Notamacropus eugenii: one gene and its partners. The protein of the gene in region 1 interacts with the protein of each later gene in a pairwise test. Links are inferred from orthologs where the notes say so. Each region holds a gene or a part of one and is shown on either strand. Other genes may lie near its edges.

Region 1 (7,704 bases):
AAGTTGAGGACTCAAGAGACCTTGGATTATCCAGCTAGATCTCTTAAGGGGGATGGTCTGAGGCCAGAGGCTGGGGAGAGTATAATACATTAAGTGGCTGGATTGGCCTTGGGGTTAGATCACAGTGCAGTGAGTAGGTGGCTTGCCAAGGGTAGAAATGATATCAGAATATATATAGTCAATTCCTTGGCCAAACTAGGAATGAGATCAGGGTGGGGTCAGTGGCTGGGCCAAGCTCAGGGTAAGACCTGGGTGTGGTCAGTGGCCAGGCTGGGGATGTGATCAGCAGAGACCAGCTTCCTTCTCAGGCCTCATTTCCCTTTTTCTTGTTGGGGAGGGAGGAGGAAGATCTATGAGCCGACCAGGGAACTGGAAGAAGCTCATAACTGGGGAATTGCCAAATTGAAAGAGTAGGGGAGCTCAGAGCATATCCAGGATTGAGGGACTCAGCAGATGGTAAGGGACCCAGGGGGAAGTTAAGTTGGTGGGAATTTTTGCTTAAAAAAAAAATAAACAAAAAAAATAGATACACAGACATGGGGGTGGGGTGGAGTGGTGGTGGTCAAGGAGGATGTGAAAAGCAGGAAGTCATAATCTCCCACCCTCTTGCCTAGTCAGGCCCAAGGGAGGGGGATGGGAATTAAGTGACTAAGGAATGAGGGAAAAATGGGGTTGAACTTTCTGGGCACAAAGCCATTCTCAAACATACCTCATTTTTTATTACCTCAGGGCTGACCAACCTACTCCCCACCCCACAGACAAATTGGTAATACTTTTCCAAATAAGAAGGCAATGAGTCCTTGCCCTTTCCGTGCCACCAAATACTTCCCATTCTATCCCTCACACCACTTGGGAAGCACTGAAACCACTGACTTTGGGTATGGAATGGCCTTTTGCTAGAATCTGAAACCCTGTTACCATGGACACTAAGTCAGAAACTAGAAGTAAGAGTCTGGAGCAACAGTTCCCCACTCAAAGGGGATCTTGATGCTCTGATAACTACAAATGAAATGAGGACAAATGGTCTAAATTAGGGGAATTAAACTCAATTCGTGATTGAGGCACTGCTGTAGGCCACGATCTTTCAAACTGACCATGATCCTAAGCCTGAGTTCAGAATTTAATCCCTGAACTTCAATACTGATTCTGATCTGATCATTGACTCACTCTTACCCTGACCCTTAATCCTAAACCTTTGGACTTATTTCTAGCCTAGTCCAAATAGCTAACTCTCTTTCTGATTCCTAACCATTTAAATCTAATGCTAACCTATGACTAACCAAAACATTCAACCCAATTCCTGAACCCTAATGCTGACTCTGAAAAAAATCACTGACCTTTAACTCTCATCTCCTTAACATTAACGACTTCAAACACTGACCCTAAGTGGAAAATCATTATTTAGTAGATATTCCCAATGGCCTACCAATGATGCCTGAACCAATCACTGACTACTGACGTCTATCCTTAACCCTTACTCACATCCTTTCATCCTAACAATGATCCCAATTTTTGGATCCCTGATCAAATCTAAACTCTATTTGGCATTTAGAGTTTTTACCTTTTCAGTCTTTTCTCTGTGAACTCTACCACGCAGCTAGCCTGGTCTCCTAGCTGTTCTCCAGTTTCCTTGCCTTTTCACTGGTTGTTCCCCAAGCCTGGAATGCTCTATCTGCTTACCTCCAACTCTTAAGTTTTCTCTATTTTCTTCAAAATTCAGCTCAAATTCCATTTTGTGGTGTAGGCCTTTCCAGATTCCCCTAGCTGCTAGTAATCTCCCCTCTCAGAGGTCTTCCTACTCACTCTATATATCTTCTTTAGGTACTTATTTCATGAAGCTTCCTCCTCAGAATGTAAGCTCCTTGAGGGCAGGAACTAGATTTTCTTTTTTGCATTTCTTTGTATTTTTCATTGCACAAAGTCTGGCACACAGCAAGCACTTATCAAGTGCTAGTTGACTCATGGTTGGCTAACCGCCCTCCACAAACACCAATGCCATTCCTAATCCCTGAAGCCTAATTTGATTCTTGGAAGATAAATTCATCCGTAATGCAGACCCGAAACTCAAGTGCTACCCCTGACTTTTAATTTGATTCCTGACTAACCCTTTCCAATTCTAAACCTATGATCCTACAATCCCCAACACTGACCCACAAACTAATCCTGACTATCCAAACCTGTGAATCCTGATGCTATCCCTAATATTAGCCGTAACTTGCCCTCTGTATTCTAACAGTGATCTAAAAAACAAAAATCCTGAGTGTAGAGCTTGCCTATTTGTCATGAGCCTAAATCTTAACCAGGTTGCCCTGATTTCCTTCAAGCCTCAGCTCAAATCCCACCTGCTTGCCCTCTCACTGCACAATGCCTCGCTCTGAGATTATCCTCCATCACTCCGCACTATTTTGCCCGCACACAGACGTCTGCACGCTGTCTCCCCTATCATACTTCGAGCTCCTTTCGGGCGGGGACGCTGTTTTCGCCTTTTTCTGTGCCTCCAGGGCTTGTCACAGCACCCGGCAAGAAGAAGCGCTTCCATACTTGTCGCCCCACAATCTCAATAACCAGTAAGGGCCAGCACATCTCTCCTGTTATCCTCAGGACACCTCCAACGTCCATCGGATACTCGGCTCCAAATTCCAACCCCATTTAACTCGAACTTCCCCCAAACCTGGGGCGCACCTGAGCCTGCATCTCCGAACCTACCCGGCCAACGCCAAACCCAGGCACGCCATCCCGGCTCCGGACCCCGCAGCCCGGACCAGCGAACACCCTCCCACCCGGCCTTGGAGCCCTCCCGATCTGCCCCACCCCACCCCGCTAAGCCCAGCCGGGTCCCCCGTCCTGGCCCGCCTCACCTCCCCCGTCCCCACGATCCGCTCCCCCCTATTCCCGAACCCCAGCTTTACAGCCCAGGCCCGTCAGCCTCGCCCCGCTACCCCATAACTGTCGCCCCCCAGCATCCCGGGTACCACAACTCCGCCCGCCAAGCAGCTGGACAAGCAGGATGGACACACCCGGACCCTGACCTCTCGGGCCAAGGAGGGAGCCGGCGGCGGCGCCCACCCTGACCGCCCTGGCTGCGGACCGAGGCTGCGGCCTCCGCTCGACCCCTGCCTTCCCCCCTCCCCCTCCCCCCCCCCACCCTCCGCCGCGGCCGGGCCCCCTCCCCCGGATCCAGTCCCCTCCCCCCGCCCGGCCCTGCCCCTTCCCGCCGCCGTCCCGTCCTTCCTGGTCCCGCCCCGCGCTCGGCACCGCCTCGGCCCTACCTGGGCCGTGCGGGGACCTCTCGCTCGTTGGCCCGCCCTCCAGGTCACTCACTCGTTCGCTCTCCAGGTTCCCGGGTCCGGGGTCCGGCCTCGCCCTCCCGCCGACTGACGAACTCTCCGCCACTTCCGTCCCCGGAGCGCGTCCCCCCCACCCGTGGGCGGCGCCCTGGGCCCGCCCCTCTACGGCCCTGGCTGCTGCAGGAAGCTGCTCTGGCCCCCGCTCTCTATGCCTGGGAGCCGGCCCGGAGACCCGGGCAACTTCCCCTGCAGCGAGGGCGGCGCATGCGCGGCGCGGGCCGCGGCTCCGTTACCGCGCGCAGCCTAGCGGACCCGAGGCGCACTCCGCCCCGTCTCGCTGTGCTGCGGGCTGCTCTGGCGGGGGGGCGGGGCCTCCCTGGCGGGGGGGCGGGGCCCGGGAGGCGCGCCCCGCGGGAAGCCCGCCTCTCGCCCCCTCCTCAGCCCCAGACCCGCGGAGAGCCCGGCGGACGAAAGCGGACCCACCTGTTTCCCCGAGACTTCCCGGCCTGACCGAGCCCCTCCGTCTGCAGGGCATGTGTCATGTGTGAGTCTCCCCAGCAGACCCGGGAGCTCCCCCTTCCGCCCTCCGCCCCAGGGAAGGGCCCCGCCTGCCCTCTGATGCTCGTGGGGGTCGCTCACGCCCTTCGCGTGGGCTCGGGAAAGTTGGGGACACGCGCGGACAGGGAGGCCAGCGGGAAGCCCCTGTGTGTGTGTGACAGAGGCAGGGAGGGGCGCTCTCAGCGGTCTGCGAAGGGCGTGCGTGGGTGGTCACGGGGACAGCGAACACGTCGTCACTCACACCTTTGTAAACCACCTCGAAAGTACCTGACCGCCGATTCACGTCGCGACCGCACTTTCTGTTGGTGCAGAGGTGAGGGGCCACGGGTGCGGAACGTGGTGTTTGCTCCCCGCCTGTGTTCAATGGAGGGGGCTGGTGGCTGTCAGGAAACGAAAGGCATCAATAAAACCTAAACGAACAAAGAAAACTCATTGCGTGTGCACAGAGCGGGACCGATCGACCTCAGGAACGGAAAGCCTGGCGAGGGGTACGAGGCTCGGGGATACATGACAGCAGTCGGAGTGCGGGCTACATCCGGGCGGGCGTGGGGGAACTACATCTCCCAGCATGCCGCGGCCTTCTGGCTGACGTCATTTTTGTGGTGTTGGAAGGCTGGAGCTGGGTCGGGTTTGGGAGAGGCTGTCCGGGCTGGGGAGAGACGGCCCGAGGGGAAGTAGAACCCCAAATTTGGCCAGTTCGCGTAGAGGTGGAAGGGAGCAGACGAGGGGTGGGGTTGGAAACCTGGCCGAGGAGGCGGAGAAGTGGCCATTCCAGCCCTCCAGGGTAGGTGGGAGGGCGTGCCGGTGCTCTCTGCTTTGGGGGGCGGGGTGTGTGTGTGTGGGGGGGGGGGGCTGGGGCCGGGGCAGGGCCGGGCCGACCCTGGCCCTCTGCTTCCAACGTCCCCCCTCTGGGGCTCTATGATGGGGGGCCGGAGAGAACAGACAGAGCTCCTCCATGGCAGGGACGGCTTTTGCTTTTCTTTGTATTCTCTGTGCTCGGCATATTGTAAGGGCTTAATATGAATGTTGACTGACCGCCTTTCACCTTCTACCCTTTGGAGGGGAAAAGAGGATCAGGATGCGGATGGTGATTCCTTCTCCTTCTTCTAGATGTCCACCATGGAGCCTGTCCTGGACCCAGGTGACAACGACCTGCTGGATTTCCTGAAGGAGGAAGGGGGAGATCTATGGGAAATCCTTGGGGAGAGGGAAGAGGACCAGCAGGATGATGGGATGCTGCCTCCTGAGGTGAGTAGGGGCTGGGCCAGGCTTAGCCTTGGTTGGGGTAATGGTGGTGCTATAAATGAAGAGGAGAGATTCCAAGGAGAGTTGGGACAGGAAGCTGGGAGGAGAGGAGCAAGGCCTGCTTCTGAACTAAGTGGCTGTATAGGTGCTGAATGAGTGGGAAGCAGAAGAATTCCTGATGTCTCTGCTGGGACCCCCCACCTCACCATCCCTCCCAAGTCCTCCTAGCTACAGCTTCATTCACACTGATCACACTTACTCTCTGAGCTGGAATGTACAAGGTTCCTCCCAAGATGATGTCTACATTGACCTGGGTAAGCTGGGAAAGGGGAATCATGTATGCGGGTAGGTAGTGACTGGGAAGGCAGAAAGAGGATTCTGAGGGAGGGACATGGAAAGGGGGATGAAACTAGGAGCCCAGGGCTCTTGGTTCTAATTATTTTCCTCCTGCAGATGATGATGGTCTCAGAGATGTGGCTCAAGAATCAAGGGTCTCCTTGCAGATGGAAGAAATGACACTGCAGGTATCTGGAGGAGGGGCAAACATTAATAGTAAGGGGGAGATGATCACCTCTGATAATATCAGGATGCTTTGATCAACCCCACACTTCTCTCTCCTCAAGCTCCAGATGTCTTCTTCCCACTTTATTTACTCCTTGGTCCCTCCCTGTCACATGTCATTTTCCTGTTTTCTCCAGCACGAGTTTCCTCAGTTGATACTGACAGATGAAGAGAAGAGGCTGCTACAGAAAGAAGGGTTGACCCTTCCTGAGACTCTCCCCCTTACTAAGGTGAGACTCCTTCATGGTCACGGGTATCATGCCTGGTACCATTTGAGGATGGCCATAAAAGGTCTGCTTTTCAAATTTATGGGCAACAAACCTGGGATAGCTAATGTTCCAGATGTCCGAATCACATTTCAAAATACCTCAACAGAAACAACGTGCCCAAGCTAATATGATTAAACTTAGAAATGGCAACTCCAAGTAAGTTCAAGAGGACAATTGCACAAATATAGGAAAGGGGGAGATGTTTCTTAACAATTGCTGTGAAAAAGACTTGATGATTTTAGCTGATTGCTTCAATATGAAACAGCACGGTGAAGTGGTTTCTAAAAAAAAAACTAAGACATTCTGGGAAGCATTAATAAAAGTATAGTATCCTCCAAAAGGAAGCACAGCGCCTGGAGCATAGTGAACACTTTATAAATGCTTGTTGATGAATAGGGTGGCTATAGCATTTGCTGTTAAACTGAATCTAAAAGTGATGATCAGTACGTATGAATGAAAGAATGATTAAATAAGTGCTGGAGGTACAAATGGAAGATGGCCCCTGCTTTCGAGAAATTCACCTTTTGAATAGAGGAGACAACACATACGGAAGCTTTCAGCTGCTAGTCAGATGGAAAAATCCCATGGTTAGGCTGAGTCATTATGGGTTTATTAAGAATATGATGACCAGACTAGACTCATTTCCTTTGATGGGTAGATCAGAATAATGATTTGGACACGATATCTAGATTTCAGCATGGCATTTGATAGCCTTTTAGATAAGGTGGGGAGATAGAACCAGATACAATAGTACAGATAGGTAAATTTGGAATGAACTCAGCTTGGAGGGAAAACTCCAGTGGAGTGCTCGGATGCTGTCTCCTTGGCCTTTTTGTTCAATATCGTGAAGGCACAGATGACCTCTTGACAAAATTTTCAGTGATGGAGGGATAGCTAATATTATTAGCAGGGGGCTAGTCTTTAGATCAATAACCTAAATAGTTTCAGCAGGCCTAGTTTAAGATGATGAAATTTAATAGAAATAAATGTAGTCTTACACTTGGGCTCAAAGAAATCAACCTCGTGAATTTAGGATGGGAGATATATAAAATAGTTGTTTGTCCTTCGTTCTCAAAGAGGACCATGACATCAAGATGATGACATGACTTGCACTTGACTTTGATTTGAGTGAGGGAGGGCTGGGCAAGGTCACCAGCCTCACTTTCTTCTCCTGAGTCATCTGGGTCCAGTGACCAGATATTCATCAGGATGACTGGAGATGGCTCAGAATGCAGTGTGAGACCTTGACCTTTTTAAGCCAAGGTCTTATCACATTCTCACTCTGAGTGAGATACACCCATTCAATGAATAGGCCTCTGACATAAAATAGTAGTTTACGTGAAAAGGACTTGGGTATTTTAGCAAGCTCAATGTAAGTCAAAAGTGTGACAAATCAGAAAAAAAAAAGCCAGTGATCCAAAGTTGCATTATTAGTCCTCATGTCCTTTTGCCCTGACCAGGGCACATTTAGAAGACATCATCTTCAGATCTAAGAACCATAGTTTAGGAAGGCCATTGGGAAGCTGGTGTGTGTATAGATGAATAACAGCTTGTCTTTACACATTTGGACAGTCATTAGCTGGAGGGATTCTTTTTTGTTCTTGGTCCCAGGCAATAGAATTAAACCAACAGATGACATTTACCAGATTCTGATTTAAGTTAAGAACTTTCTAATGGTATATTGTCCAAATGTAGTACAAGCTGCTTTGAGAGTTAGTATGTCCTGTCATGTCTTCAAAGATTGGATGTCCCATTTATTCGGAGTGTGGCAGAGAAAATCTGTG
Region 2 (6,952 bases), on another chromosome or scaffold:
GGTAATAAGGCACATTTGAAGGGAATACATATGGCCAAGGAAACTCTTGTAGTATCTCTCATGGGCAAGACCCTCAACTAGGCCCCTTGGTTCTTCTCTCTGCAGATCAACTCATATTAAATATGTACATACATACATACATACATACATGTATATGTCTCCTGATGTTTTATTGAAGTTATTATTATTAGGCCTGAACTATAAAGAACTATGCAAAAAGAGCTAAAATGATGTTTCCTCTTTACCTATACCGTACTTATTTCCTCAATTTCTTTTTCTCTTATTGCTAAACTTAGCATTTCTAGAACTATATCAAATAACAGTGGTGCAAATGGACAGCTCTGCTTGCTTTTGATCTTTTTGAGATTAAGTCATAAAATTCTCTCTGTCTTACTCTGTTAAACTGAGAATTTTATATTTTTGTAAATACAGCTGTTAAAGCTTTAAACTACACTATGACTTTTGGGATACCTTGCATTCATCCAATTCATTATGAGTTCTGTTAGTACATAATTGAGCAAAACAGTTTATAATTTCCTTTATTTCCTCTTCATTTCCTATACATTCCCCTTTTAATTTTTTTATATTATCAATTTGGTTTGCCTCTCTTTTTATCAGATTATCAGAAGCTTATTCATTTTATTAAGGTTTTCTTCCCTCAAAAAAAAAAAGGCAAACCCAACTCCTAGAATGATCAATTCAATTTTTTGTTTGACTTTAAATTGTGTTCTTTTGTGTCTTGTTTCCATCAAGTACCAATTCTCAATTAAAAAAGTGGTGAGTCTAGATTTATGTGTTATTATGTACTTACCTGGTCCAGGAGGGAGGGGTCTTGAGGACTTGGGCACAAGGCAGTTGTGAATGGCACAGGGCATCCAGAAGCTCACACTCAGTACCATGGAAGATATCTTCAATGAATGCTACCAATGCTGCCACCATTTTACGTCAAGTCCTGAAATAAATCAAAACTATGAGGTGAGGAATAAAGCCTCTTTAACTGAGATAACAGCATAGCAAACATGCCATCCTGGGGGATGTCAAGTGGACTTCCCAACCAAATTGACTCATGAGAAAGTTTGTATAGTTTTAGAAGGAGAGAGGAGAAGACAGTATGAGGTAGAAAAGCCTGGTCATGAAACCCCAGTGGCTCTTGGCAATTTGGGTAAGGAAAACCACTTCATTCTGGCTATTTTGCCCTTCATGCCATAAATTCCAATGGCTGAGATCCAGCTTGAGCTGGGCTTCCCCCAAGGCAACATCCCTGGGTTGGGGCAACCTAAGGTGTGGTTCAGCTCAACCTAATTCAGACTAAATATCTTAAGAGTTGGTATATAAGTGACAGTAAAATTGGGAAGCCAATTGAGTTAATGTATGGGAAAATTCAGGCACTGGGTTGCTTTCAAAGACATGGTCTTTTCCTTTTAGGGGTCTAGGTTCCTCTCCCATCATAAGAACATTACTAGAATTTTGACATTGTCATGATAAGAGGTTTAGACAGTCCATATTACAATCAGTATTAATTTTCAGTCATTACCTTAACAGTTTAATCATTTCTTTTTTTTTCACTGTTTTAGTTGCATGCTGAATTTATTGATTTGTCCTTTTTCTCTTTTGTTGATAAGTGTTTAGAGATATAAAATCTTAGAGATACAGAGATATAATATGCTTCGGCTGCATCCCCAGAGTTTCAGTATGTTGTCTCACTGAAGTCATTAGGATCTCAGCATAAAAATGTCCAACACAGAAGTGACTATCTTCTCACATCTAAAGCTGCCCCTCCTCCAAAAGTTCCAAGGTCTGTTGAGAGTATTACCATCCTTCCAAAGTGAATTTAAAATCTTAACATTGTTTTTCCCTCCTTCAACAGAAGAGTAGACAGAATAGGAGGAGGCTGGAAACCAGAAAATCCTGGGTTCTGAGTCACATCTCAGACATTTCACTAATGTGATTTGGGCAAGACACTTTGGCAGAAAACACTCTGCCCTAATTTAGTCCCTTCCGCTCCCTTGTCTAAATCATCGGATCTTTCGGACTTTCTCTGCTTCCCATTTCTTATCTCCCTGTGGACCTTCCCTACAGCTGCAAGATGAATAAGGCACAGTTAGTCCATGTCACCTGGGCCACAAAAATGTTCAGTGTCTCCCCATTGCTTTTACAACATGATATGATTTCTGCTGGGCATCAGAGGGCCTCTACAGTCTGGCTCTAACCCTGTCTTTTCTTCCAGACTTGCTTTACCTCATTCACTCAAAGGCCCTGCTTGTTCTAGCCAAACAACTGACTGCAGTTACCCAGAAATCGACATTCCTCCTCATACCTCAACACATTTTCATCAACTGAAATTTCCTTCTTCCTTTGTCCCACCTATCCAAATCTTTCTCTTCCTTTAATTCCTCTCTGGACTTTCTTCAGGGGTAGTCCAATGTAATCCCAATGTTTTCCACCTATGGGAGTCATTTTCCAAGGATCTCAACCACACACACACACACACACACACACACACACACACACACATATGCATATATAGGTCACTAGTCTTAGCTGTTGCCTCTTCCTGCTGGAAGCTTTCTTTAATACTACCAATTGCAAGCAGCTCCTTCATCAAATTCCGTTGCATTCCCGATATTTACTTATCTGGGTACAGGCCATATCTCTAAATCACCAAACCACTGCCACCTACCCCCACTCACCAGATGCAAACTGGAGGGCAGGGCTATATTGCTTCTATTTTTATACTTCAACCACCCAGCAAAGTTCTCTGCATATAATGCAGTGCTTTATGAATAAATAAATTATAATAAATCCTTGACTGGCAAATGTCTATTAAGTTTAACTTGACTAAGTTCTAAAATTATCTAGGGAGTGCCTGAAATGTAACACCTCATTCCGAGCACATGGATTTAGCATATGTATACTAAATTTAAGACACTACTAAATTACTATTCCACAATTAGTAAACCATATCTTTCATTCACAACATATCAGACCTATTTTTCAGTCGCTTACTGACACGGGAATCACTATTCCTGAGACACCACTGAATGTGGGGAGTAGAGCAACAAGTGAGTATATCCATTCACTGATTTCCTCTCTGTCAGGCTGCTACCATGTAACATCCCATGAAAAGTAGGATCGAGGGATGTTCTGAGAAGACTTGATGCCCGCACATACACACACAGACATAAAAGCAATGTCCTCGCTGGAAGTTTCCTATTCCAGTGAAATCACAAGGCTGGTTAAAATCAAAATCTCACATGATGCTTAATAAAGTGCTTGTTGAACTGAACTGAATGACTTTACACACCTGAAAGGGAAGTACATGGAAATACAAGATGGCTTATTATGTGGAGCCCAAGGAAGAAGAGCAGAATGAGTCATCTGATAACCTTTTTTTTCTAATAATAAAAATTAATAATAAAAAAAAATCTGAAGATCCTTTGATAGGAGTGTGCTGTAAGTGTTTAACATGCTAGGGTGTGGGGGGAGACTGCAGGCAAGACACACCTTTGAGTTGAATGTGCATTATTCACATTTTCTCCAACACTTTCTAAAGTCTGCACAATCAACAAAACAAAAAAAATGAGTCCAGATTTGTAACTAATTTCTAAAGGGGGCTCCAATACATACTCTCCTTGGATCCCAACTGCAGAGATACTTCTTCCCCACCAAAATGAAATGAAAGGGAAAAGTGGCATCCTGCAGAAGCCATTACCAAATTGCTGGGGATTCTCACAAGCCCTTTCTCTCCCTCAGGGTCCCCATTCTACACCTGCCCTCTGGGTGGGGACTTCAAAGATCTTCTAATTCAGGCCTGGCACAGCTCCCCAGGGTCCCCCAGGGAATCCCTTTCAGGAAACGAAACTAAGATGTTTTAGGATGTTTCCATTTGCAACATCTTCTGGGGTGGCTGGTGATCGCAGGGCATGGGACGAGGGGGACTACCGCTGGGTATTTCCTGCCACCTGCTTGGGTTCAGCTTAGTCTAGCCAAGGCCTCCCCTATTTGCTTTCACACCTACCTGCAGAAGGCTGGCTGACTAAAGGTTCCTTTCTTCGGCTGCTCTGACCCCATCAATTGGACAGTCCCAACAGGACCCCACAGGTAGGTGGCCTTATCCCCTTTAACTCCATCTAAAAGTATCAAATGAGAGAGTTAGTGTGGCCCAGCAGATTTGATTAGGGATAAGGAATAAGCATCTAAATCACCTGTGTTGGCAGACCTTTCCACCTTTATCCTCTGGCAAGTGAGAATAGATTAAGAGCAATTGGGAGATGGCAGAAAGAGCTCCATACTGGCCCAGGGAGGCTCTGACCTATAGGAAAAATCCCACACTGATTCTCTGGGGGGCCTTGGATCACTCAGAGCATTAGTTTACTGACTGTTAAAATCAAGCTAATAAAATTGGTGTGGGGAAAAGCACCTAATAAACCCTAACGCAGACAGTCAGCAAGCATCCAGCACCTATCGTGCCAGGCCCTGTGCCAAGCCTAGGAGATATGATGAAAGGCAAAAGCAAAAAAAAAAAAAAAAAAAAAAACCCATTTACAAGTAAGCTTCCAGTCTAATTCAGGGAGAACACAGAAAAACTATTTACAACCCAAATAAAGACTGAATAAATTCAGAGAAATGGAAATGAGAATAAGGAGGAACAGAAAGGCTTCTAGTCACTGGCAGGATTTTAGTTAAGGCTTAAAGGAAGCCCAAAAAGTCATAAGGCAGAGGTGAGGAGGAAGAACATTCTAAGCATGGGGGACACTGGCAAAAGTGCCCAGAGTCTGGAGATGGAGGGTCTTGCAAGGGACAGCCAGGAGGTCAGGGTCACTGGATCAAAGACAACACAAGGGAAGTGAGGTGTAAGGAGACTAGAAACGGAGGAGGGGATCAGGGTATGAAGGTCTTAGAATACCAAACAGAGCACTATATAGATTGTTATATACAGAGAGATTGTTATATATAGATTGTTGTATATACATATATATATAGAGAGAGAGAGATTGTTATTTTTTCCTTCAGTGTTGTCTTAGATCACTGTGAAACCTGGGAAAGAGACTTCGTAGAGCTATGTGACTTTTAGTGGGCATAGGCAAGACCCCAGCCCCAAAATGTCTGTTATTCCTCTAATATCATTACACAGTATCATTGGATTATACCCCTAGAACTGGAAGGGACTCAAGAGGGTCCTAGTTCAACTGATGGCCAAGGAGGTTTGGGGTTCCATCAAAATGTTACTATCCACAGGAGTAAAGTTTGACCCGTTCACCTCTTCATGAGCATTAACAGATGAAGAGCCTCCCTGAACAACAGAAGCTAGACTCTACCTGAGGTGGAACAGGGGGAGGGCACCAACACAAGATGTCAGGGATGTTAAGAATCTCCCAGGCTGAGTCTAAAATCTTGGTTTTGCACCCAAGGAAGTGACCTGCATAAGGCTATAGAGAGCAGACTTGAAGTCAGGCCCACAGCACCCCCCCTGTTCTCACAAAGTGGCTGCCACCTTCTGTAAAATGGCAGACCTTCCCTATTTAACCCAAGCACAGAGTAAGACTACCCCATGGGAAACTGATGGGATAGGGACAGAGAGAGCTGTGGAACAGGCATGTCCTGCATCCTGACATCAGACCATCTAGGGCCTGCTGTAGAAATGTATCTATCTCTCAATGCAAAGATACCTTGCTCTGTGTGATTTAATTCCACACAGAGATCAGTTTTCCTGGTGGCTTGGACCATTCCACCACAAGTACTTATCAAGCATTCTATAGCTTATTTCTATTTAATACCCAGGGCAGGGGGTATCAAGGGAGGAGGCATATATATGTCAAGGGATGGGTCTCTGCCTCATCCCATAGTCATTCACTCCAGAGGCATTTATTCAGCATAGTAATGTTTGAGGAACCACTGTCCCCTGCCATCTAGGAGGGGATGCCCTGGATAGCTGCCCTACATAGAATTATAGCCCTTTCCATTCATCATCTCATTTGATCCTCACAAGAATACTGAAGAAGATAAAGCTTAGAATAGGTGATCTCATAGCCTGGGGGAGATGGAGCCAAGTCAAGGATGGGACACAGCACAGGTTGGTAAACTGAGACCATGGGCTCAAATTCATCTACCTCCATTTGCTATATGTGTGACCTTGGGCACGTGACATCTCCCCTGGAAAACTGAGCTATCCGGGAGACCTCAAAGCTCTACATTCTTTTGCTCCTATGGCTCTGTTTTTATCTACAATCCCAGCTCCACAGGACTTTGTCCTGTTGTTTCATTGGAAGCTTACAGTTTGGCTTTTTGCGTTTATCTTAAAAAGTCTCAGTATAAAGCAGAGGTTCATCACCTTTTGGGAATCATGGTTCCCTACGGGATTATGGGGAAGCATATGGATCCTTTCTCACAATAATGTTTTTAAAAATCATAACTGAAAGAAATACAAACTTCCAATTACTAAAAATAAAGATGTCATTATTTTCCATCCAAGTTTATGGTCCCCATGAATTTATCCATAGATACCTTGGAAGTCTGTAGACCTCAAGTGAAGAACCCCTAGAATAAAGGTTCATTTTAGGATGCACAATTTTTTAACATAAAAAAAAAAGTTGTACTGATACAACCATGTCACTGGACACAAGCAATCTGCTAGTTCATGAACCGGAGCTAGGGCTCTTTGGAAGAAACCAAAGCTTATAGAAATGAAGAGACCTACCCAGCTAATGAATGACAGGGGCAGTTTCTAAAACCCTTTTCTGATGTTTTCTTTTCTGGTGACTGAAGGGAAACTGAGGGAGGCTAAATGAGCCTCCTAGACAGGTCCTTCCCCCCTCCCCCAGAAATACCATCCCATGCAGGCCAATTCAAGGATGTCTGAGAATAAAAGGGGATGGTCCGGGGGAAGGGCCTGGGGCCACAGCTTCATTTGGGTTGCTCTGTGAAGGTTTCATTCCCCCTCTTCCCCAGCCCC
Region 3 (7,857 bases), on another chromosome or scaffold:
TTCCATGCCCTGAGACCAATTCATATTTTTCTTGGAGGCTTTGGATGGAGGAGTTTTGACTTTGTTGTCTTCTGTTTGCATGTTTTGGTCTTCCTTGTTACCAAAGTAAGATTTTAGAGTCTGATTCTTTTTCTGATTTTTGCTCATTTCCTCAGTCATTTACTTGACTTCAGAGCTCTTTGTCAAGATAGTTCTCTGCTTCCAGTGGGAGTGGGGGATGTACTGTCAGCTATTCGATCCTCCCACAGTCTGTGGTCCTAGAGCTCCAGAAACAGTGCCTGCAACTGCTCTGCTGATGCTGTGGCTATGGCAGGTTCATTTGCCCCTTCCCCCTCAGCTGTCCAAGGGCTGGGGCCTGACCACTCCACTCTCCTGCATTGGTCCCACAGTTCTTTCCCACTGACCTTCCAATTTATCCTCAGTGTTTTGGGATTTTGAAGTCTCAAAACCACCACAGGTATGAGAGATTCAATCTCCCCAAGCCCTGCTCAGGTTCTGTCTGTGCCAGCATGGCCCATGCTGGACTGCACTCTGCTTTCAGTGTGATGCGATAGACACTTCCCGGTGACCTTCCAGGCTGTCTTGGACTGGAGATTTGTTTCACTCCTTCATTCTGTGGGTTCTGCAGCTCCAGAATTTGTTTAGAGACATTTTTTACAGATATTTGGCTGGGCTTGGGGGCAGTGCTCTAGAAAGTCCATGCTGTTACTCTGCCATCTTGGCTCCACCCCTGAAGGATCCAGTCACCCCCTTTCTAAAGACCCACTCAATCAGGAACTCTTCCTTCTTAGTGATCAATAAGAGGATTGATACATTATCTAAAAGTACCAACCTCCCTTAGTGCTTCATCATGCTCATATGGTGTGCCCAAATCAGGAAAGACAGTTTTTCAAATGCCCTATACATTTCCAAGTTATATTTGTATGTATTCAATACCCCTTCAATCAAGCAACAAGCATTTATTAATTATGGTCCATGCATTGTACCAAGCATTGGGAATACAAAAGCAAAATGGAAGCTGTTGCCACGCTCAAGAAACTTACATTCCAATGGGTGTAATAGCATGTATATATCAAAACAAACAAAAGGTGATTATGGAAAGGAAGAAGGACATCAACTGCCAAGGAGGCCAAGAAAGACTTTATATAAAATGGGTTTCCAACTCTTTTTGTCCTCTATACTCCTTAATTTTCAGTAAGCATTCCTGTACCCCATATTTAATGAAAGGAAATAAATAAGTTACCATATCTTTACTTATGACTTAAAATGTATCAATTTTTCAGAAAAACTTTTGTAGCATTTTTTTAGTATTATATGGACTTGTTCAATACTTATCTAAACAGTCATATAAATAGTAAGGCCTGGCTCTGTTTTTTTTGTCAACCAAATTTTATCCTTGTTATGATTTTTGAGATACCTGCATATCATGTCTAGTCTCCAGTTTGTTTCTTGCTTTGGATTGGATTGGGATCAGGACAGAGAATTCTTTATTCACAAAAATAAATTGATATAACTGAAATTAAAAACCTTTCTGTAAGAATGTGATGTGTAGTTAACCCAAGGACCCCAGCTTCTGGGATAAGAACTCACTGTTTGACAAAAATTTCTGGGAAAACTGGATGGATAACAGTGGGGGAAACTGGGCAACCTGACACTGCACACAAGAATGAAGTTCAAATGGGTACATAATCTAGGTATAAAGACTGATACTATAAACAAACTAGTGGAGCAAGGAATAGTGTATTTATCAGATTTGTGGAGAATGGAGAAATTTTTGACTAAACAAGAAATAGAAAACATTATGAAGTATAAAAATGGACAATTTTGATTACATTAAATTGAAAACTTTTTGCACAAACAAATCCAATGCAACCAAGATTAGGAGGGAAGCAGAAAATTGGGAAAGAATTTTTGTAACTAGTATCTGTGATAAAGGCCTCATTTCTAAAATACATAGAGAACTAAGTCAAGAACCCAAGTCATTCCCCAGTTGATAAGTGGTCAAAGGATATGAATGTAACGGGACGAGTTAGAGTCGACCCCTGTCCATCGCAGGACGCCACACTGAGAGCCTGCCTAGATAACCTGGGGGCTTGTCAGTAGGGGTGGAACTAGATGGATTTCAGGAGGAAGGGTCTTGTCTTTGTTGGCAACATGGCAGTTCTTTGTCCAGTTCCAGATGTCCAGTGGAGAAGACACCCATATAAGGAATAATATTAGGTGATAGGTTCAATGTATAGGCTTAGGACTGTTCATGTAATTAAGACTATATATGCATGTGAGCTAGCTGGAATAAACGGAGTTCCCACTACCTTGTCTCCCGCCTCATTTCATTACTCACTAGATCAAGGCCTCTTGTTGGACAAGAGCCTTGGGTTGGGGTTTAGGGATTCCTGAAATGGTCTAGAGGACCCCAACATATGAACAGGCAGTTTTCAGAGTAAGAAATTAAAGCTATCTATAGTCATATGAAAAAATGCTCTAAATCACTATTGATAAGAGCGATGCAAACCAAAATAACTCTGAGAAACCACATCATACCTATCAGATTGGCTAACATGACAGAACAGGAAGATGATAAATGTTGGAGAAGATGTGGGAAAGTGGGAACACTCATTCATTGTTGTTGGAGTTGTGAGCTAATCCAACCACTCTAGAGAGCAATTTGGAACTATGCCCAAAGGTCTACAAAAATTGTTCTAGGACTATATCCCCAAGAAATCATAAAAATGGGAAATAGTCCCACACGTACAAAAATATTTATAGCAGTTTTCTTGGTGGTGGCCAAAAACTGGAAATCAAGGGGATGCCAATCAACTGGATAATGGGTGAACAAGTTGTGGTATATGAATGTAATGGAATACTATTGTGCTATAAGAAATGATGAACAGGAAGACTTCAGAGAGGCCTGGAAAGACGTATATGAACTGATGCTGAGTGAAAGGAGCAGAACCAGGAGAACTTTGTACACAGTAACAACCAGTGTGCGAGGAATTTTTCTGGTAGACTTAGTACTTCACTTCAATGCAAGGACTTAAAAAATTCCCAATGGACTTTTGAGACAAAATGACTTCCACAACCAGAGAAAGAATTATAGAATTTGATCGCAGAATGAAGCAGACCATTTTCTTTTGTATTATGTTTTGTTTTATGATTTCTCCCATTCATTTTAATCTTCTGTGCAACATGACTAAGGTGAAAATGGATTTAAAAGGAATATATGTGTAGAACCCATATAAAAGTGTATGCCATTCCAAGGAGGGAGTGGAAAAAATCCAAGATATATGGAAGTGATTGTAGAATACTGAAAACAAACAAACAAATAAAATAATTTAATTTTTTAAAAAAGAACATGATATGTACTCTTAACAGGATTTTAATGAGCTAGCCTCTAATTTGAGAATGACAAACAGCAGATCAGAGAAAAAGTACCAGTAATAAGACAGTTGTTTAATTAAGTAGTTTCATGGTGAGGAACAATGAATTGCAAATCAGGAATTCTGATCAGAATTCCACCTTGCTGCAGTGAAGACAGATTATATACATAAATCACAAATGGGAAAGGAGGTGAGAAAGTGGTTTACAATCCTTCCCAGGGCCACAATAGTATCCCATGACAAACCCACAAATGGAAGACAATACAATTCTGGAGTCAGGTGGGAGCAATATTGCTCAAGTCCTTGGCGGGTTGCTACTTCGTGGATCACAGGAAAAGAGTTCTGTGGGGCACACATTCTACAGTCTTTGATGCACTTTACGTTTGCAGGCAGAAGGATGCCAGTGATTGTCAGCCTTGTCAAAGTTTGATCAGTTCAAGCTGCTTGTGAGTCTTAACTCACAAGTTGGAAAAACCAATTCTGAGAAATCTAATCTATTAGTATATTCATTCCAATGTCAGGTCGATTATTATAAAAATTAGAATTTCCTCCACAGTACTTTCGAGAGTATTCTAAAATTTTTTGTACCTTCATTAATTTCAAACCATTTGGGTGCTTCTGGTTATGATGACTATTAATTAGCTTGCATTTCTTTGAAGTTAGATTTTTCTCGTACTTGATATGAAAAAGATTTCCTTTCCAAACTTCACTTACCTGGTTTTGGTTAGCAGAAATTATTCCTTCACCTTGTCTCTTACACATTTTTCAGATAAGGTACTATACCTTTTCCCACCCACTTCATGCTGCCTCGTGGTTCTTTTTTCAAATCCATAACTTTTTTCACTATTACTACTACTATTGAAATGTTTCAAATATTCTCTGTACCCCTAGGAGGAACAGAGACCCCAAGAGGGAACCCCAGAAGTAGAAAATGGTACTTGAAGGAAACAGAGGGTTCCAAGAGGAGGTGAGGCGGCTCGAGCTTTCTAGTCAAGGAGTGCTTAAGGGCTTGGGAGCAAAACTGTGCCTAAAGATTAGTTTGAAACTTTGTATCCTACGTAGCACCTAGCAAACAATTGTGTACACAGCACAACTTAATCTGTTCTAAACTTTCTATTGTTCCCAGCACCCAGCAAATAGCTCTGCACTCAGCCGTACTTAAACATTGTATCCTTCCCAGATCCTAGTACACTGCCCAGCACACAGCCCTGCTTAATCTAAACTTTGTACCCATCAAAGCACCTATAAAGTGCCCTGCACGCGGCCAGGCTGAATAGCTCCAAGTCCAAGTCCAAGTCCAAGTCCAGGCCGCCTAGTCCAGGCTTTTCCTAAAGCCTTTCTCCTCGCTAAGTCTCCCGTACCAGGAAAGTCCAGGCAGTGCCAATTACCTCCCAGAACTGATAAATAAGACCGTGCTGCGCGTTTAAGGAAGACGCCAGCACTATACGTGGTGACGTAAGAGAGCACGCACACCCAAGAGGCTTGGGGGAAGGCGGGGCGACTGGGGGGGGGGGGGGAACCTGCCGCTGGAAGAGCCGCGGCTGGAGCCGGGGCGATGGCGAAGCTGCTGAGCTGCGTCTTAGGCCCCCGGCTCTACCGGGTCTACCGGGAGAGAGACTCAGGAAGGACTCAGACTAGCGTTCCTGGGACTCCGGCCGCCATCACCACCTCCCCGGCTGGCTCCTGGGTGAGTCCTTTATTTCTCTCCCCTGGCTGGAGTCATGGTACGGCCCAAACCCGTTGCTGCTTTAGCCCCCCGGAAGCACCCATAGTTGGAATTAGGGGGAGCACGTTAACCTGCTTATTTCTCCCAAATACTGCGTATCTAGGTCTTTACTGTGTAAACTTAAATGCTTGTGGGTGTGAGCCTTTTTTCCTTTCTCTCCATCCATCCACTCACTTCTCTCCTGTTTTTCATTTATCTTGTTTGCGTTTTTTATTTACACCCCCTCCCCCACTCCCCCGTACAGTACCCCACCCCATCCATGTGTGTTGTCATGGCTCATGCCAGACCCCAGGTGCTGCCAGGAAGACCCTAGAAGGGTGTGTTCTAGAAATGGGAAAAGGGGTGGGGTGGGAAGATGGGGGTTGCCATAAAACTCATTTGTCTCGGCTCGAGCTGTCGCTTTGTCCTGTTCTGTCTTCATGTGTGTCTTCCCTTTATTAAGCTCTTACTTTCGTTCTCAAAATGACTTCCCATCAACTTTATCGGTACCCCCCCCCCCCCCAGCAGTGATGGTTCTGTCCATTGTGGGGGGGCACTCAACTGGACCATAAGAGACCCACAGAGCAATTCTATTTTCAGAAGTGGGGGAGGTTTTATATCTACTCCCTTATTGTGCCCATTCTCACAGACTCCCCAGTCTCTTTTTCTAATCACAACTACATTTTCAGGCTTTCTCAGTTTATTCCGATTTCGTAAAAGATCCTCACCTTCTCCTGTCATAGTGTGTACGCTTTGCCCTTTCGCCTGCACTTTCTCATTCTGCCCTCCCAGCGCCTGGGTTTCATCCATTTCTTAGAAGAGAGTTGTGAAAGAGGACAAAAGTCATTTATTGCTTTCTTCTATAGTCTTAATTCCTTGGATTGTCCCTGGGATGAGGGCTGGAGAGAGAGAGTATTGGAGCCAGATCTTGAGGTGGTGTCCTCTGGGGCGAGGAGACCCACATCTGGAGTCTTTTGCCTGGGGGTCCAAAGGGAGGTGGAGGCCGCAGACAGGTGGGATGATAAAATAGTGGGAGCTGAGGCACTAAAAGGAAGAGAAATGGACTGGGGTTGGGGTAAGATGGGAGAAAAGGGACCCTGACTGGGCTGTTTTTGCAGGAGTCCTATTATCAGCCCAGGGCCCTGGAGAAACATGCTGACAGCATCCTGGCTTTGGTGAGTTGGTCCTCTGCACTCTTACCTCCCCAGACCCAGTCGTTTTTTATGTTCCCCTTCCCAGTCTGGAAGACTGATTAGATTCTGAGCAAAGGGTTTTAGCCTCAGCTGAGGAGTTCTACCTCCCCATTTGGGATGCCATACAGCTTCCTCTGGGACAGTATGGATCATAGGGAAAACATGTTTACTCAGTTGGGACCTTCCCCAGGTACTGAATACTACAGTCTCCATAGACCTGTCTCCTCAAGTAACCAAGCTTCCTTTGCTTCAATAACAGCACTTCTCTCCACTAGGGTTCCCATGTTAGCATTTCTACTGTTATTTGGGGACCAGAATGTACCAAGTAGCAATGATGGAAAACCTCCAAACAAATTGTATAAAAAGAAGGACTGTGCTTTTTAAGTTTGAGCAGATCATATTCTTGAGGCTGTCTGACTTGGGGAAATGCATTTTTTCCCCAGTGCACTTATCTATCTCTACCCCTTTTCTCCCATGTATCTCTTTTTATTATCCTTTCCGTTCACTCTTTGACTTCCCTGTATGGTAGTTTGCATAGTATCTTCTAGCCTTCTCATCACCATTTTTAATCAGTCTAGGAAGAGTGTATTCTGGCAGAATGAAACATACTTTCTAACTTTCTGATATGTAAAGCACACTCCTCAACTTCCTCTCCCCAATGTGGTGTTCCAACCTACTTTTCCTGGCAGTATGGTATGCCTCATTCTCCAGATTGGTCAGAATCCAGTGTTGGAAATGGGGGAGCAGTCAGAACAAAGCAAAAAAAAAGCTGATTGTCCATTTGTCCATTTTTTACTGTAGGCCTCAGTCCTCTGGTCCATCTCTTATTATTCCTCCCCCCTGGCTTTCTTCTACTTTTACAGGAAAGGTCAGTGTGGGGTTAAATGGTTGGTTGGGGTTTGGAGTGGTGTGGATGTTGATTAAATGGAGAAACTTGTCTTAGGAGAAGGGACCCTATTCTGTTACTAGGTATAGCCAGTGCTCCCCAGAATGGTAAGCAAATGCCCCAAATTAGCCATTGAATAGAGGGGGAGGAACAATGGATGAAAGCAGAACTTGAACTCAGCTCTTTTTTTCTTCTCAGGTTACTTGTGTATGTCAAAGGTGGTGCCATTTTCTCACTATGCTGGGACATTGCTACTGCTCCTAGCAGGTGTGGCCTGTCTTCGAGGTGAGTGGTCCAAAATAGGCACATTCAGTATGCAGATATATATTAATTAGCTCCTGTACTAGAGTTGAGGGAGCGGGGGAGGGCAGGGGAGATACAGAAGAGCACAAAGTAAGATTCTTCATGTAATTTAGAATTTTGTTGGGGAGATAAAACACAGATGAATGAATGAAAAGATGACATGACAAATGAGTGGTATAGTTGATGAATGTATTGTTTGGAGATTATAACTAAAGATTCCCAGAAAAGATAAAGTTTGAATTGGACCTTGAAAAATGGAAAGAAAAAAGGTGGAGGAGGACATTATAGTCCCTGGAAAAAAATATGAGCTGAGCATGGAGGTAAGATAGCAAATGATAAATTTAGGAGACAATGAGGACACTAATTTAATTAAAGTGTTTTTAAGGAAATGGT
Region 4 (7,734 bases), about 250 Mb from region 1:
CCTATTGGTATCTTTTGTCCTTTATCTATTGGGGGAGGTTCTAACTAGATCTCAAAGCATCTTAGCATACTCTCAAGCTGGGCACTTCACAGTTCACTAGCCTAGATCTCTAACCTAAGTGACTTTTAGGAGGAAAGAATTGGCCCCAGCTAAATAATGAGCCCTTTCTCTCAGGCTTAGTGAAGTGCTGCACCCCACTTCTCCCCCTTTTCTTTAATTTTCTGGACCAGTTTAGCATTGCCACATTGGTGCTATAGGACTAATTTCTGACAGGTCACCAAGGCTTTTAAGTGTGGGGCTGAGCTCTTATTTCAGGCCCATATATATGTCCTGCCTCTTTCAGTCTGTTCATCTACTCTCCTGCAGAGACCTTTTGTAACACAGAATGTTACCAACTCTACATTGGGTCTCCTGTCTTGAACCCAGCAAATTTCTGCTACCTGGAGTGTTACCATGGTGCTGCTTGTCTGTTGGGGCCTGAGCAAACTTCCATAGCCTAAAACCAGGATCTCCATGGCACTGGAAAGGGAGAGGGGTACCAGGATATAGCACTGGGTTTTATTGCAATCCTGTTCTGAGTCCTTGGGTACTGTTGCAAGCACATGTACTGGACCTCAAGGCTGGTAAGATCATGAGTGGTAAAGGAGGGAGTGCTGAGTGAACTCCAGTACACCCCTCTTTCTGATAATTTGTGTGTCCCATGAATGACAAGATTTCTTAGCAGGACACTGTCATCTTGTCAAAAGTCCTGACAATGAAAAGGAACATCATATCTTCTTTTCTTTCTGATGATGTAGCAAGGTGTAATTTTTTTAAAATTCTCTTTCAATCTGAGAGACATTCTAGTCATGAGTATCTGTTGTCTTTCTTTCTCCTCTGATACCCCAAAACACAGGTCAAAAGGTAGATGTGGCTGACACTGAAAAAATAGGTATAGCATAATACAAATGACATTATTCCTGGTAGAGTTGGTTCCTGGTTCCATGGAGATTTTTGTTCTGGTTTCAATGTCCCTAATATGTTTATCTGTGTGGTTGAAATGTTCCGATTATGGGTCCCCTTGATGGTAAAATATTTCCTATATTTCTTGATGTAAGTCAGAGCCAACATCTCTTTGAGTATTATACTTTAAAAGTCACCACCTCGGTCTGAGGAGATGTTTGCAGGAAGTCTATCTGCTGAGAAATATTTCTCCCACAATATTTTCACAGTTGTGGAGATTTTAAGGTTTTGTATTGGAGATGCTTCACTATGCCTAGTAAAGCAGTCTATCACAACCAACACATGACTTATGTTCTTGTTATCTCCTTCCAGCAAAAGAAAGTCAATGAAAGTGAGTTCCAAATGTTTTTTAGCACTTATATTATTCAAGTAAACCATATGTGTTAGTAGTACTTTGCAAACAGTGAGCAAAAGTCTCACATTTCTCAGTGATATCCATATTGGATCAGTAAATTATCTTTCTTTCTAGCTCTAGAATCCTTTCTTGACTCATATGTCCAAAATCATCACATAGAGCTTTCATGGCTGTATATGGCTTGGACATTATCAACTGGTTCCTGGTCCTGTGAGTGAGATTAATAACAGAGATGACCTCTAAATAGATAAGCAAAGAGGTATATGACTGTTTGTTGTTGTTTTGCTGAGAGGCTTAGCCTCTCAGTTCTCTCCTATCCCTGACTCATACTGGCTATATGACCCCTGACATATTTGACCTCTTAGAGCTCTAGGCAACTTTCTAAGACTTCTATGAGGAAGTAATAACAGTACTCCATTGCACAGCTCTAACTTCTGTCATTGTCTCAATGATACAGTGCCATTAGAAGACTGACTCTTGAGTTATTTGACAATGCCACCTTAAGAAGTCTTGGCTTGTATTACTTCACATAGCCCTTTGTAAATTTTCTGTTCCCTTCAGATGATCCACAGGCAACTGAGGCAATGAAAGTTGGTTCAATGAAATAAGATTCATATATGCTGCTGGTATGCAATCTGGACCTGGTGGGTTGATTCATGCACACAACCCATATCCCATTTATCCAGTGGAAACACATTTGTCTCCAATGCCACTTCTAGGTACATTACTCAGAAACCTCTCCTCTTTTCAGGTTCACTCATTCCATATATATCACTCAATTAAAATTCTGATAGCTGTTTCCCAACATCCAGGACACACCCCTTCTTTTCTCAATGAATTCAGTGCCTGGCTTACAGTCTTTCTCCTCAACTTTTGTCCTTATTGTAGGGGACTTTAACATGTATTTTGATACTCTCTCAAACACCCTAATTTCATCATTCTTCACCTTATTGATTCCTCCATGATCTACCCCTTCACAGGTGCTCCATCAGCCACCACTACACCATTCATATGTGGAACCATCAGTTACAACAAATGGAAAAGTTTTGAATGCTGTGGATAAGTTCACTTACCTTGGTAGTGTACTTTCCAGGGATGTACACATTGACAATGAGGTTGAGGCACACATTGCCTGAGCTAACTCAGTGTTTGGGAGGCTCTGAAGAAAGGTTTGGGAGAGAAGAGGTATTAGACTGACTACCAAATTGAAGGTCTACAGAGACATTGTGCTGACCTCATTGTTATATGCTTATGAAACATGGACAGTCTACCAGTGTCATGTCAGGAAACTGAAAAGCTTCCATTTGAACTGTATTAGGAAGATTCTGAGGATCACCTGGCAAGATAAGGTACCAGACACTGAAGTCCTTGCTCGAGCTGAACTGCCAAGTATTCAAACTATGCTTCAGAGAGCGCAGCTCTGATGGGCTGGCCACATTGTTCGAATGCAAAATGCACGCTTGCCAAAAAGACTATTTTATGGAGAACTTGCAAGGGGCAGGCAATCACATGGTAGCCAGACGAAATGACACAAGGACACTCTCAAGGTCTCTCTCAAGAACTTTGGATTTGACTGTGCAACATGGGAGACACTGGCACAGGACCACGCAGCATGGCGTGCCCACATAAGAAAAGGTGCTATTTTCTTTGAGCAAAGCAGAATTGAGACAGCACAAAGTAAACATAGGATGTGCAAATGTGGAATATCCACCCAAATATTCACATGGACTATCTGTGCCCAACCTGTGGTAGAGCATTCCAAGCTTGTATTGGTCTGATCAGCCATAGTTGGACACACTGAAATTTCACTTTACAATGGTGATGTCATTTTGGTCCTCTTCAAAGGACAACAACCAATCAACTCCACCCCATCTCAGCCCCCCACAAATATGGTTACATCCTTGATCTTGCCAACACCTACAAATGCAGCACTTCCATGATCACAAACTCTGAAATTCCTTTGTCTAATCACAATCTGTTGTCATACTGTCCTGCCTCAGCCACACTCTGATTTCCAAGCTCTTTTCTTTTCTAGACCACCCCTGCACTAGTTACACTACCTTCCCTTCCTCATCTTGAGCAATGGTGAACCAGTTCAACTCTATACTTTCGTCTTCTTTTGAGTCTCTTGCCCCATTATCCTATCACTGATCTTGCCCTGCCAAGCCTCAGCTTTGCTGCTACTGAATAAAAATGGAGGAAAACACAAAATTGTGCTGACTGGATGCCCAGAAATTTATGTTATGTAACTTCAACTGAGCCGTTACTATTGCAAGGCAATCCTTTAACACCTCCCAAATAACTTATTATCTGGTTCACCACAGGAGCTCTTCCAAATTTTTCCATCCCTCCTCAAAATTCCCATGGCTAGCCTTGCCCCTACCTTCCTAACTGAGGACTTTGCCTCATATTTTACTGAAAAAAAAAAATTAGGGCCATTTGAAAAAAAATAAACCTCCCTTTTCTCTTCTCTTCATCTCATATCACCCAGATGCCTTCTACCACTATTTCTCTCTTCATCCTAGTATCATATAATGATGCGGCCCTTCTCCTTGCCAATGCATAGCTCTCATTTCATCCCATCTTATCCAGAAGACTGCCTCTCTTTCATTCTCACTCTCACCTGTCTTCAATCTTTGTCTGTTTTCCTACTGCCTACAAACATTCCTATGTCTCTTCCATCCTCAAAAAACCCTCAATCGATCCATCCCTCCCCACTAGCTTTTGTCCCATGTATCTCTCCATTTTGTGGCTAAATTCCTTGAGAAGGCCATTCACATGAATAGGTGCCACTATTTCCTTTTCTTTCACTCTCAACTCACTACAGTCTGGCTTCTGACCTCATTCAACTAGAACTGCTCTCTCCAAAATTATTTACGATCTCTTAATTGCCAAATACGATTGGCCTTTTTCTCAGTTCTCACTCTTCTCCACCTCCCTGCAGACTGTGACAACGTCCATCATCCTCTACTCTAGTTCTCCTAATTATTCTTAGCCTCCCTGGTTGTACTTTCATCCGGGTTCTACCGCTGTGTGTCCCTAGAGATCCGTCCTGAGTCCTCTTCTCTTTTCCCACTATACTGTTTCGTCGGGTGATCTCATCAGCTTCCACAAATTCAGTGATCATCTCTGTGCTGATAATTCTCAGATCTACTTATCCATGTCTAATCTCTCTGCCGGCTTCCAGTCTCCCATCTGGAACTCAACACATCCAAAACGGAATTCATTATGTTCCCTCGAAGTCTCTGGGCTCCCTCCACGCTACCACTCACCAAGGCAAAAGGGGCGGGTCTCTCACGCAATCAGCGTTCTGATTGGCTCCCAGACTCCAGCTATTCCGATTCCGGGGCTTCACTTTTGTCAACAACGCAGGAGAGCGCGAGGCCAGCAGGTTTGTCCTCGCTGGCTTCCCATAGTCCGCAGGATTTCCGGGATACTTCAGTCGGGCTCAGGGCTGGACAGGGCTGGGATCCTGGCCGAGGTTACCGATGGCTGCTGTGTTTCTGGTGATGCTCTACGAGTATTCACCACTCTTTTACATCGCCGTGGTCTTCACCTGCTTTATTGTGACCACCGGCCTGGTGCTGGGATGGTAAGGGCCTGGGGTAAGGGGGGAGCCGGCTTCTAGGTCGGGCGCGGGGGACGTCGTGGTTACCGGGGAGGGGATGACAGCGGGAGGAGGCCAGGGACGCGGCCCCAGGCTCGGGGGGAGTCCTCGCTGACTCGCCTCCGCCCGACGGATAAACACCCCTTAGGCGTCACGGGCCGTAGGATCCCCACGTCCTTCCCAGGAACGTGAAGCAATAATTAGCATTTCTAAGTGCTTCAGAAACGTACTCTTTAGGCTGAATATTGAATTTTTCTTTTTGTCCCTTATTTATCTGGAAGGTTCGTTTTTTCCCCTAAATAAGCGTTGCTGAAATTCATTGAACGGATAATGATTAAGTTCTTCACAGTGCACATAAAAAAGAAAGAAAAAATAGGGATCTCTCAAGTATCAATGCAGTTTAGTTTGAAAGAGAATGCAGAACGCAAATGAAAATGTAAAAACACCGAAAGGAGAAAAGAGTTTGCAGTGAGTTCTAGGAAAATCAGCCCATATGAAGAACACTTTTATGTTGAAACTGGAAGGACAACAGAAGTGTGAAGTGGTACTGGTCCTGACTGGGATTTCTTTAACAATGTATTCTAACTGGTTACATAAAAGAATGATCATGTTTGGACTGTTTTTCTTGGTGTACAATGGGAGGGAGTTACAGTGGCACTTGAGATGAAGTTGGAAAGGGTGACTGGACCTGACTACCTTACAGACAGAAGAAACCCAAGCTGGAAGGGGCACAATTTTAAAAGAGTGTAAGGGCAGACTTTTCAAGATCTCTCAGAGGATGGCAAGCTGCTGAAGTATGAAAAAGATTAGAGATGATAAAGTAAGAGAGAAGGCATCAGATACTACTTGCTCATGTGCCTACTTTTCTTATCTTTAAAAAAGATCTTTGATAGTATCTTATCCTTATATTGAGGGTGTCCTTGATAATTAGAAGAAAAAAGTCAGCTTTTATAGCTGACCACATCTTTATAGACTCACAATTGACCTGAAAAGCATATAGAATATATGATATCACTTTAACTTATTTATTGATGTTTGAAAAGCATTTCACTGAGTAAAATGCTTATAGCTTTAAGGACTGATCTTTAATGAAGTGTCTCCAATGCACACATTAAAATTATATAATTTTAAGAGAGCTGTGAATACCAAAATAATTTTGTTCTGTGATAGGATTTTAACATTAAGTGAGAAAACTGGGAGACATATGTTTCCCTAAGAGGTTTTCCACTGATGAGGAAAATGCCCAGTATAGAATCCAAACAGAAGTTTTTTTATTGTTGATCTTGTCCTTCAAATGATTTTAAAGACTTAAAAGGGAACTCAAAGATCATGTAGTCCACAGCCTGTACCATTCATATTTTGCTAAAGATTGCATTACGATGAAACCTTAAGGTCCTTTCCAATTCTGATATTTTGTGAATACAGTATCATACAATATCCTTTACAAGTATCATCTAGTTATGTTACTGGCAAAATGTATGAATAGCTGGGGAGCTTTCCACTACTTTTCTTTGCCAACCTCAAAGGAATTATTTGACAGAAATAGACTTATTACAACTAATTTCACATGATGACAACTCTCCACTCCTCATCCTGAACAATATGAAGAACTCATGAGAACTTTGATACCTGGAGTTCTCATGGTACTATGACTCTACCTGCCATTGTGAGCACAAGTTTGTGACTCAGTCTGGAATGTGCTCATATTACCCTCCCACCACTACACCCTAGGTCCCTTACCATCCCTGCACTAGAGCTGGAAATGTTCAACCCTCTCATTTAACAGATGAGGAAACAGTCCCAGGAAAATTAGGTGATTTGCTTAAGGTCACTCTAGTGATTGTCAAAGGTAGGATTTGAACTGAGATCCTTTGACTCCATAATCTGTGCCTTTCCATTGTGTACCATGCTGCTGGAGAAGTGGGGAGAGAAAGAGAACCAAAAGACCAAACTGTCTAAAAAGGGAAAAGAAAAAACCTCAATAAGAGCCCAGTGCACTTGAAGATAATTCCAGTAGAAAAGTTTCTAAAAAGAGGAAAAAAATGAATAAAATCTCCCCAAAAAAACCCCAAAGTACACTTAAATTTTATGATATCATGGTAAATGAACCAGTAGTGCCTGATGAAAGAATCTTGTGGACTCCCCAGAGATAATGGGATAACAGCAAGAAATTCAAGAATGGTTTCAAAGAAAAATAAAATTACTTTAAAAAACAACAACAACCAAATAATCATTTACCCTCAACTTGAAGACCTTTCTCACTCCTCACCTCCCTTAGCAGAAAACCCACTATCCTCTGAAGTAGCCCCTCCTACTTATAGTTGGTGCTGATTTTTATGAAGTTTATTCTTCTAAAGAAATCTGGCTCTCTGCAGTGTTTCCCTTTTTTTCCACTTTCTGCTCTCAGGCACCAAGTAAAATAAATCTGATCTTTCTTATATATTTGATTTTGATTATCTTTGTTTCTCTAGGCTAAAATTCTTAGTTCCATTGATACTCATATATCATGCCCTCCAGTTTCCTCATTTCCTGATCATCTTCCTTTGGATACTCTACAATTTATTAATGTTCTTCATAAAGTGTGATACCCAGAACTGTGCACATTATTCTGGATATGATCTGACCAGAATAGAGTACTTCAGGACTTTTACAACCATCATTCCAGACATTAGAATTATGCTACTACAACTTAATATCACATTAGCTTTTTTGACTGCCATGTCACACATACCATTGACTCATCTTGATCTATGTTGCAGTCCATCAAAAA

Evidence for each region.
Region 2: the proteins of CREB3 (region 1) and MS4A1 interact in a two-hybrid assay, tested with the Homo sapiens proteins (2 studies listed by BioGRID and IntAct). The two-hybrid records come from large-scale screens. The link is inferred for Notamacropus eugenii from reciprocal best matches to the Homo sapiens genes CREB3 and MS4A1.
Region 3: the proteins of CREB3 (region 1) and ABHD16A interact in a two-hybrid assay, tested with the Homo sapiens proteins (2 studies listed by BioGRID and IntAct). The two-hybrid records come from large-scale screens. The link is inferred for Notamacropus eugenii from reciprocal best matches to the Homo sapiens genes CREB3 and ABHD16A.
Region 4: the proteins of CREB3 (region 1) and CGRRF1 interact in a two-hybrid assay, tested with the Homo sapiens proteins (2 studies listed by BioGRID and IntAct). The two-hybrid records come from large-scale screens. The link is inferred for Notamacropus eugenii from reciprocal best matches to the Homo sapiens genes CREB3 and CGRRF1.

What each region holds. Positions count from the first base shown.
Region 1 is NC_092872.1:79,291,638-79,299,341, forward strand, and holds the start of CREB3 (cyclic AMP-responsive element-binding protein 3), read left to right. Parts: upstream 1-4,690; 5' UTR 4,691-4,800; coding exon 4,801-4,851; intron 4,852-4,955; coding exon 4,956-5,093; intron 5,094-5,235; coding exon 5,236-5,404; intron 5,405-5,543; coding exon 5,544-5,614; intron 5,615-5,788; coding exon 5,789-5,881; intron 5,882-7,704. UniProt on the Homo sapiens protein: Endoplasmic reticulum (ER)-bound sequence-specific transcription factor that directly binds DNA and activates transcription. Plays a role in the unfolded protein response (UPR), promoting cell survival versus ER stress-induced apoptotic cell death.
Region 2 is NC_092873.1:12,243,031-12,249,982, forward strand, and holds the start of MS4A1 (B-lymphocyte antigen CD20), read left to right. Parts: upstream 1-3,936; 5' UTR 3,937-4,101; exon of another isoform or gene 4,102-4,130; intron 4,131-6,952. UniProt on the Homo sapiens protein: B-lymphocyte-specific membrane protein that plays a role in the regulation of cellular calcium influx necessary for the development, differentiation, and activation of B-lymphocytes.
Region 3 is NC_092873.1:85,377,852-85,385,708, reverse strand, and holds the start of ABHD16A (phosphatidylserine lipase ABHD16A), read left to right. Parts: upstream 1-4,842; 5' UTR 4,843-4,932; coding exon 4,933-5,064; intron 5,065-6,200; coding exon 6,201-6,257; intron 6,258-7,076; coding exon 7,077-7,143; intron 7,144-7,359; coding exon 7,360-7,446; intron 7,447-7,857. UniProt on the Homo sapiens protein: Phosphatidylserine (PS) lipase that mediates the hydrolysis of phosphatidylserine to generate lysophosphatidylserine (LPS). LPS constitutes a class of signaling lipids that regulates immunological and neurological processes.
Region 4 is NC_092872.1:333,873,136-333,880,869, reverse strand, and holds the start of CGRRF1 (cell growth regulator with RING finger domain protein 1), read left to right. Parts: upstream 1-4,716; 5' UTR 4,717-4,845; coding exon 4,846-4,949; intron 4,950-7,734. UniProt on the Homo sapiens protein: Able to inhibit growth in several cell lines.